Caenorhabditis elegans: one gene and its partner. The protein of the gene in region 1 interacts with the protein of each later gene in a biochemical or structural test. Each region holds a gene or a part of one and is shown in the gene's direction. Other genes may lie near its edges.

The links. Proteins that work in one complex are often made in the same cells at the same time.
Region 2: of the proteins of chk-2 (region 1) and sun-1, one has a biochemical effect on the other in vitro, tested with the Caenorhabditis elegans proteins (one study listed by BioGRID).

Annotation. Positions count from the first base shown.
Region 1 is NC_003283.11:19,914,272-19,918,023, reverse strand, and holds the start of chk-2 (Serine/threonine-protein kinase chk-2), read left to right. Parts: upstream 1-2,000; 5' UTR 2,001-2,050; coding exon 2,051-2,091; intron 2,092-2,144; coding exon 2,145-2,281; intron 2,282-2,337; coding exon 2,338-2,468; intron 2,469-2,511; coding exon 2,512-2,650; intron 2,651-2,756; coding exon 2,757-2,893; intron 2,894-3,242; coding exon 3,243-3,350; intron 3,351-3,701; coding exon 3,702-3,752. Other genes in the region: Y60A3A.19 (Protein YIPF), read right to left, coding at 1-73, 1,121-1,271, 1,341-1,455. UniProt on the Caenorhabditis elegans protein: Serine/threonine-protein kinase which is required for checkpoint-mediated cell cycle arrest, activation of DNA repair and apoptosis in response to the presence of DNA double-strand breaks.
Region 2 is NC_003283.11:13,191,796-13,195,547, reverse strand, and holds the start of sun-1 (Sun domain-containing protein 1), read left to right. Parts: upstream 1-2,009; 5' UTR 2,010-2,020; coding exon 2,021-2,402; intron 2,403-2,448; coding exon 2,449-2,552; intron 2,553-2,595; coding exon 2,596-2,799; intron 2,800-2,843; coding exon 2,844-3,263; intron 3,264-3,310; coding exon 3,311-3,622; 3' UTR 3,623-3,752. Other genes in the region: F57B1.1 (G-protein coupled receptors family 1 profile domain-containing protein), read left to right, coding at 1-25, 299-442, 498-621, 665-794, 840-1,020, 1,065-1,217, 1,264-1,347, 1,404-1,553. UniProt on the Caenorhabditis elegans protein: Involved in centrosome attachment to the nucleus. Required for zyg-12 localization to the nuclear envelope. Together with pot-1, it is required to anchor telomeres to the nuclear envelope in embryos.

The DNA of each region.
Region 1 (3,752 bases):
GAAATATGGCAGCGGAAGGAGCACACAACGGATTTTGTAGTAAATATCGGTTAGGTCAATGTCCAGTTCTTCGCTGAAAATGGAAAAAATTTGAAAAATTTTTTTTTTTTTGGAAAAATAAAAAAAAAAAAAAATTCGAATTCCCCATGCAATTTCACCCCGAAAACCAATTTTTCAGAAGTTTAGTGCAAAATTCCGTCAAATCAGGTGCCAAGTCCGCAAACACCGTGCTACAGTAACCCAACACACCAGATTTGACGCAAAAATGCACTAAATCGCTGAAAATAGGGGTGTAGGAGTAATTTTGGCTGGGAAAACCGAAAATCGACTTAAATTTCGATTAATTTGAAGTTTAAACTCAGTTTTTGAACTTTTTTCGAAATTTTTTGAAAAATATCGAATTTTCCCAGTTTTAGATCAAAATTTACGGTTTTAAACTAGAAAATTTGAATTTCCCATTCAATTTCACCCCCTGACCTCAAATTTCAGCTCATTAGTGCAATTTCCCGTCAAATCAGGTGTCAAGTCCGCAAACACCACGCTACAGTAACCCAAGACACCAGAATTGACGCGAAATTGCACTAAATCTCTGAAAAATGAGGCTTAGGGGTTTTTTGGCACGGAGAATCTGAAAATCGACTCGAAAATTGAAAAATTCAGAGTTGAAGTCTAGTTTTTTTCAAATTTTCAGAAAAATCTCGAATTTTCCTAGTTTTAGGTCGAAATTTGCGGTTTAAAACTAAAAAATTGGAATTCCCCATGCAATTTCACCCCCTAGCCCCAATTTTCAGCGTTTTAGTGCAAAATTCCGTCAAATCAGGTGTCAAGTCCGCAAACACCACGCTACAGTAACCCAAAACACCAGATTTGACGCAAAATTGCACTAAAACGCTGAAAAATGGGGCTTGGGGGTAGATTTCCGCGGGAAAGTTGAATTTTTAGGTTTTAAACTTGAAAAATTAACGGAAAACCAAAAAAAGTTAGGATTTTTGCAATTTTTCGGGAATTTTGTCGAAAAAAGGGGGTTTTGCCCATTTTTCTTCAAATTTTTCGACTTCTTCTCCGTTTTCTTTCGAATTTCTTCGATTGTAGCCAATTTTCCATCATTTTTGGCGCTTACAGCAGTGGAATCTGGTCACTGTCCTCCTCATTGACCTCCAGAAGCCACCCAAATCCACTATTCTCCATAAATTTTCCAGCGGCTCCAGCATTAGTACGACGATAAGCCTGAGCTGAAATTTGTCCAGTCGGGCTTGAAATTGAGCCGGAATCTGCAAAAAAAAATCGATTTTTTACGGAAATTTCTAGTTTTTTGGCCTAAAAATTCAGATTTTTCGTACTTGGCGCGTTAGATGACTGGTCCGGGTGCTCAAATTGCTCGAAATTCGACGAGTAAAAGCCATTTAAGTCGATAGAGACCTCCGGTTGCTTGACTCCAGTGCCCGGGTAGTCCATTTTCACCAAATTCTGAAAAAAAAACGGGGGTTTTAGGTGGTTTTCAGCGATTTTTTCGAGAAAAATATGAAGAAAATTCAAATTTTCGACAAATTTCATGCAAAAAATCCATTTTAAACAGGTTTTTACGTTAAAAACGTTTTAAAACCCGGAAAAACTGAATAAAATCCAAAAATTCATTGAAAAATTACGGTAGTTCTTAAAGGCGCAGTACTCGTTATCGATGGGTCTCGCCGCGATTTTAATGTTTTTTTGTGATTTTTTAATTTTTACTCAATTTTTGCAAGCTTTGGTTGTTTTTTTCACGATTTTCAAAAAACTTTACAAAAAATTTGAAAAAAAAATCGACTTTCCTATTGATTTTGAGTCTAAAACCAATGAAAAAGTCAATAAATTCGTTAAAAAAACTACGGTAGTTTTTAAAGGCGCAGTACTCGTTATCGATGGGTTTCGCCGCGTCTCGCCGCGATTTTCGTATTTTCGTATTTTATTTAGGATTTAGTTGTTTTTAATCGAATTTTCGCGCAATTTTCTTCGTTTTTTTCGCAATTTTCTCCATTTTTTCGCAATTTTCTCCATTTTTTCAGCGATTTCCATGGTTCGCGGGACAAAAAGACGTCGGAGCTCGGCGGAAAAGTAAAAAATCACCAAAATTTGCCCCAAAAATCGCAAAAAATTCAATTTTTTAGGCCAATCGTGGTGGTTCCGGTCACCCGAGACGACACGATGCCCGTCGACGAGGATCTTGTCGTCGGAGAATCACAGTGTGCTGCTTCAAAACCCTTCGCGAAGCTTGTCGGCGTCCGCCGAGGCATTTCTTCCATCGGTTTGTCGATTTTCCCGCAATTTTCACGAAATTCCGGCTAAAAATCGATTTTCCAGACTTGGCAGACGATCATTTCGTGTGCGGACGCGGCTCGGATGATGCTCCGACGAATTTCAACTTTTCTCAAGTCGCCAAAGACGTCGGGCTCTACAGATTTATCTCGAAAATTCAATTTTCCATTGATAGAGTAGTTTTCTACTGAAAAATCGCCAAAAAAATCAATATTTCAGGACACAGAAACGCGTAGAATCTATCTACACGATCACTCACGCAACGGGACCCTCGTAAATCAGGAAATGATCGGAAAAGGGCTGTCCAGAGAGCTAATGAACGGAGATTTGATCTCTATTGGGATTCCAGCGCTGATCAGTGCGTTTTTGACGATTTTAAAGCTTTAGGGTAAAATTGCCCAAAAAAACGGGTTTTTCCGCCAAAATCCGTCGATTTTTCCCAAAAAAACCCCGAAAATTTGCAGTTTTCGTGTACGAAAGCGCCGACGCCGACCATCATCCGGAGGAACTGACGAAAAAATACCACGTGACGAGCCATTCGCTGGGAAAAGGCGGTTTTGGCAAAGTTTTGCTCGGATACAAGAAATCCGATCGATCAGTGGTACGGGCGGCGTGGGAAAATGCCGAAAATTGGAGAAAAATCGATAAATTTCCAGAAAAATCGATAAAATCTCCGAAAATTGTGAATTTTCGCCAGTTTTGGTGCATATTCAGCCATTTTTTTTGCTGATTTTCACCTAAAAACCGCCAAAATTTACCGGAAACTTGTGAAAATTCAAATTTTCCTCTGAAAAATGCGATTTTTAACTGGAAAAACACATTTATCGATGAAAATTTGCCGAAAACCTTGAAATTTTCACGGAAAATCGATAAAAACCCTCAATTTTTGTGGGAAAAATCGATTTTCAGCCATTTTTTCCCGGAAAAATCATCAATTTTTCATGTTTCAGGTGGCTATTAAACAGCTCAACACACAATTTTCGACAAGATGCAGCCGAGCAATCGCTAAAACTCGAGATATTCGAAATGAGGTTGAAGTTATGAAGAAGCTCAGCCATGTTAGTAATACACGAAAATTGCTGAAAAATCGATTTTTACACGGAAAATTGCTGAAAAATCGAAATTTTCCGCATTTTTCGCTGAAAATTCACGAAATTCGATCAAAAAAGCATAATTTTAAGCGAAAATTGAAGTAATTTTGGTCAAAAATGCTCAAAAATGAGAATTTTCCAGTTTTTGGGCGCTGCTAACACTACAAACTACACATTTTTGGGCGCTCCTAATTCAATTTCAATGGTTTTTGGCCTATTTTCGAGCCATTTTTCACTAAAATTATCGATAAAAAGTGATTTTTCGCGTTAAAAATGCTCAAAAATGCCATTTTAACCCTAAAAATTCTAATTTTTCAGCCAAATATCGTTGCAATTTACGATTGGATCACCGTCGCCAAGTACTCATAT
Region 2 (3,752 bases), 6.7 Mb from region 1:
TTTAAAAGACACGGTTCTTGGAGAGGTCAGTTGGTCTAAAATCTATTTTCAAATTATAATATTGGTGAAACCTGAATTCAAAACTTTTTTCATCTTTTAAAATTTTGCAAATATCATTTCTAAACTCCAATATGTTTTAGATTGAACTTTGTTAAAATTTTGGTAAATTACCACAACTTCAGCTTTTCAAAAAATAATTCGAAAAATTTCGCTGGTATTCAGTTTTGAACCAGTTGAGCTTGAAAAAACACTAGCTGAAATGAAATAGTTGTCGCAGATTAAATGTTTAACTTGTAAGGTAGCTGGTAACATTCCACCAGAAGATAAGGATGGGCTCTATTATTTTATTATCACCTTGTTTGTTATGTCCACATTTGCATCAACTATTTTGACTGGAGTTTTCTTGGCTCTTTCTGTGATCCTTTGGAGCCATTTCAAAAAAGTAATGAAACACGTTTTACATAACTTTTTCCAAGGAATTTATTGAAAAAATTCAGATGATATTTTTCTGGTTTTTAACTCAACTGACCATTTCTGTTTTCATAATGTCTTCTTTAAACTTTTTAATTAATGTACCAGCGACATTATTTGCTTTGATAACCAAGGAATTCGTTCAATCCGGTAACTTTTTTTGAATCAATTTTGAATCATTTTTTTTGTTCAGCCTCATTCTACTACATGTCCAATGTAATCGATTTCTGTCATAATGCAATACTTTTCTCAAACTTGATAATTGCAATACATCGGATGTTTGTGTTCTTTTTCAAAAAACACACGGATATTGCTTTTGAAAAGTAGGGAATTCTGAAATTTTTGGAATTTTAATCTACTAATCCCAGACCGATAACATACTTTTGGATGGGAATGGTATGGGTATTGTCTGCTTTTGTTGTAGTGTCTATGATTATGAATAACTGCCAATATGAATATGATGAACGAATTTTAATGAAACATTATGTTTTGAGTTGTGAAACTAGTAGTGGAATTAAAAATATTGCTCCACCGACAATTGTACAAACTGTAAGCACAATAATGAAAATATCCAGTCCAATAAACACTTTCAGATTGAAATTTTAATACAATTTATTCTTCCAATATTTATTCTGGGAATATATATTGCAATTATCATTAAAATAATTTTAATGAAAAAAGCAGCACTCAACAAATACGAGCTCACTATTTTGAAACAGGCGGTTTTTATATTTTGCCTATTTCAGGTCCTGTTTGATTTAAGAACGAAAAAATGAAAAAAAAAATTTCCAGATTTCATCGTCGGTTTTCCTATTATGCCAAACTATCAAGTTTGAAATAGCAACTGCATTTTTGATAAAACGGATTATTAATACGGTTCGTTTTTTTTTTAATTTTTCCATAGCAATCTTGAAAAATTATCCGTATTGCAGACTGAAATATGCGCTGGAGCTGCAACGCCGTGCTTCTTCTTTTTCACTTCAAAAGAAATTCGGAAACTCGTTTCTGTGAGAGTTTCTCTCACTACTTCACAAGCCAATTCAAACTCACAGCAGAGAAGGCAAACTTCGAGAGCGATTTAATTTTTATTACTAAAATCAGTTTCTAAAATGTTTTTGCCAATATTAGAATAAATACTCGTGTTTTAATGAGAACAAACTCTTCGCAAAAAATTTCTGTGCCTGCCAAATCATATTTACTGCTACAGTAACTTTCAAAGGTGCAATACGTCAGCGGTGAGGGTCTCGACGCGATCTTGAGAATTGCCGCAATCAGTGCGGGGCTGCTTGAATTCGAGGTTTCGATTTTCTGGTTTTTTTTTTCATTTTTCGAATTCAGTTCGGATATTTTTTGTTTTAAGACAAATATAAAGCATTTAAAAAGTTTATGCTTTGTAAAGTGCAGTTAAACTTCAATTAATTCATAATTATTTTAATTGAAACAACTTTCTCGCTCTTGAAAATATTGCATTGTTTCTTAATTTCCAAATTACAATTCCGCACAGGCTTTTTTCATTCAATTTCTTTCTAAACTTCCAGATCTACTCGGTATGGCGTTGCGACACACCATCTCACCGCAGTTTTCGAATCGCCACAGTCCTCCAGTTACCCGTTCTGTATCTCGAACAGGAGTTCATCAGCCGCTAGACACATCTACTCCAGTTACTCGGCGAGATTCCCAACCTGGAACGATTACAGGCACCATTCAGAGATTTCATGAGTCGGCTGACGATTCTGAAATTGATCTGAACTCTTCGAAATTTATTTACAAGGAGCATTTTAGCTACAAAGAAATCACTTCGATGAAGAAGGAAATGTGGTATGACTGGCTGGAATATCGCATTCGCATGGTTCGGCGTCGTTTTGTTCCAACGTGGGCCCAGTTTAAACGTACTCTTATGGCTGTTGTTCTTTTTGCTATGTTATACAAGTGTGAGTCGGGAAAACGTGTTGTGGGTATCTAAATGAATAATTTCAGATGCTCGTGATTGTTTATTCGATGGAACGCATCATAATTCAGAAGGATCCTACGCGGATAAAGACGCGAATTGGGCGTCCGAAAAACAGAAATTTCATCAGACGGTACAATGAATGAACAGTCAGAATAAATTTTTATATTATTTAGATTTCCAATCTCCGAGCAGAGTTTTCGGCGCACGATAAACAACTCGATTTCAAAACTGACCATTTGGAAAAACTACTGGAAAACGTTTTGGAACACAGCAAAGGATGGAAAGAGTCGGCAATCGAAGAGCTCAAACAGATCAAATTATGGCAAGCAGAAATTAGCGATGCTTTGCAACAAATGAAAAAGGAAATCGATGATGCGGTAATTTTCAAATTTAATATATTTTCCCAATGCTAATTTTTCAGAAAAGCACAAAGATCATCCACAGTACACCAGAAAAGGCTCCAGAGACCGCACCAACTGCATCGCTTCCTCCCTCTAGCCAGCTTCAACCAATGCACATAACACGCCGAGCACTTCTTGGAGTGAATGTTGCCAACAGTCTTATTGGTGCATCAATCGATCATTCTTGTTCATCACGTCCAGTTTCTGCAAAAGATGGATTTTTCTACGATTTCATGTCATACTTCGGAACGTTCCAGGAGGGATATGCTTTGCTTGATCGCGACGTTCTATCCCCAGGAGAAGCGTGGTGCACATACGATAAACGTGCGACCTTGACCGTGAAGCTCGCTAGATTTGTCATACCGAAAAGTGTCTCGTATCAACATGTCAGATGGAGCGGGATTGTTCCAAATCATGCCCCGAAGCTCTACGATGTCGTGGTAAGCTATATAAAAATTGTGTTCAGTAACTAATTATATATTTTCAGGCATGCACGGACTCATGTTGCACCAAATGGCAGCCTCTTGTCGCCAACTGTGAATATAAGGAACGTGATGGAAGTTATGACGAGCAAGAACAATTCTGTTCGGTGCCAACAATTCAAAATCACTCACCGATCAATCACGTGCAATTCCGTTTCCGCGAAAATCATGGAGATATGCCAAAGACATGTGCTTATTTGATTCGTGTTTACGGGGAACCAGTCGATCCACCAAAGGAAACGCAACCAATGACGGATAATGGAACTGAATCAAAGTTGGAATCTGCAATTGTTAACTCTGTATCAGAAACCGCATAGAAACGCCGTATTATTGTTCCTGCCCAACTTGTTTTTATATCATTTTCACGTTCCCCACTGACTATGAATCTCAATATTGCTTCTTTGAAATCGTTTGCAAATGTTTTGTCCCGCTTTACTATCCACGTTA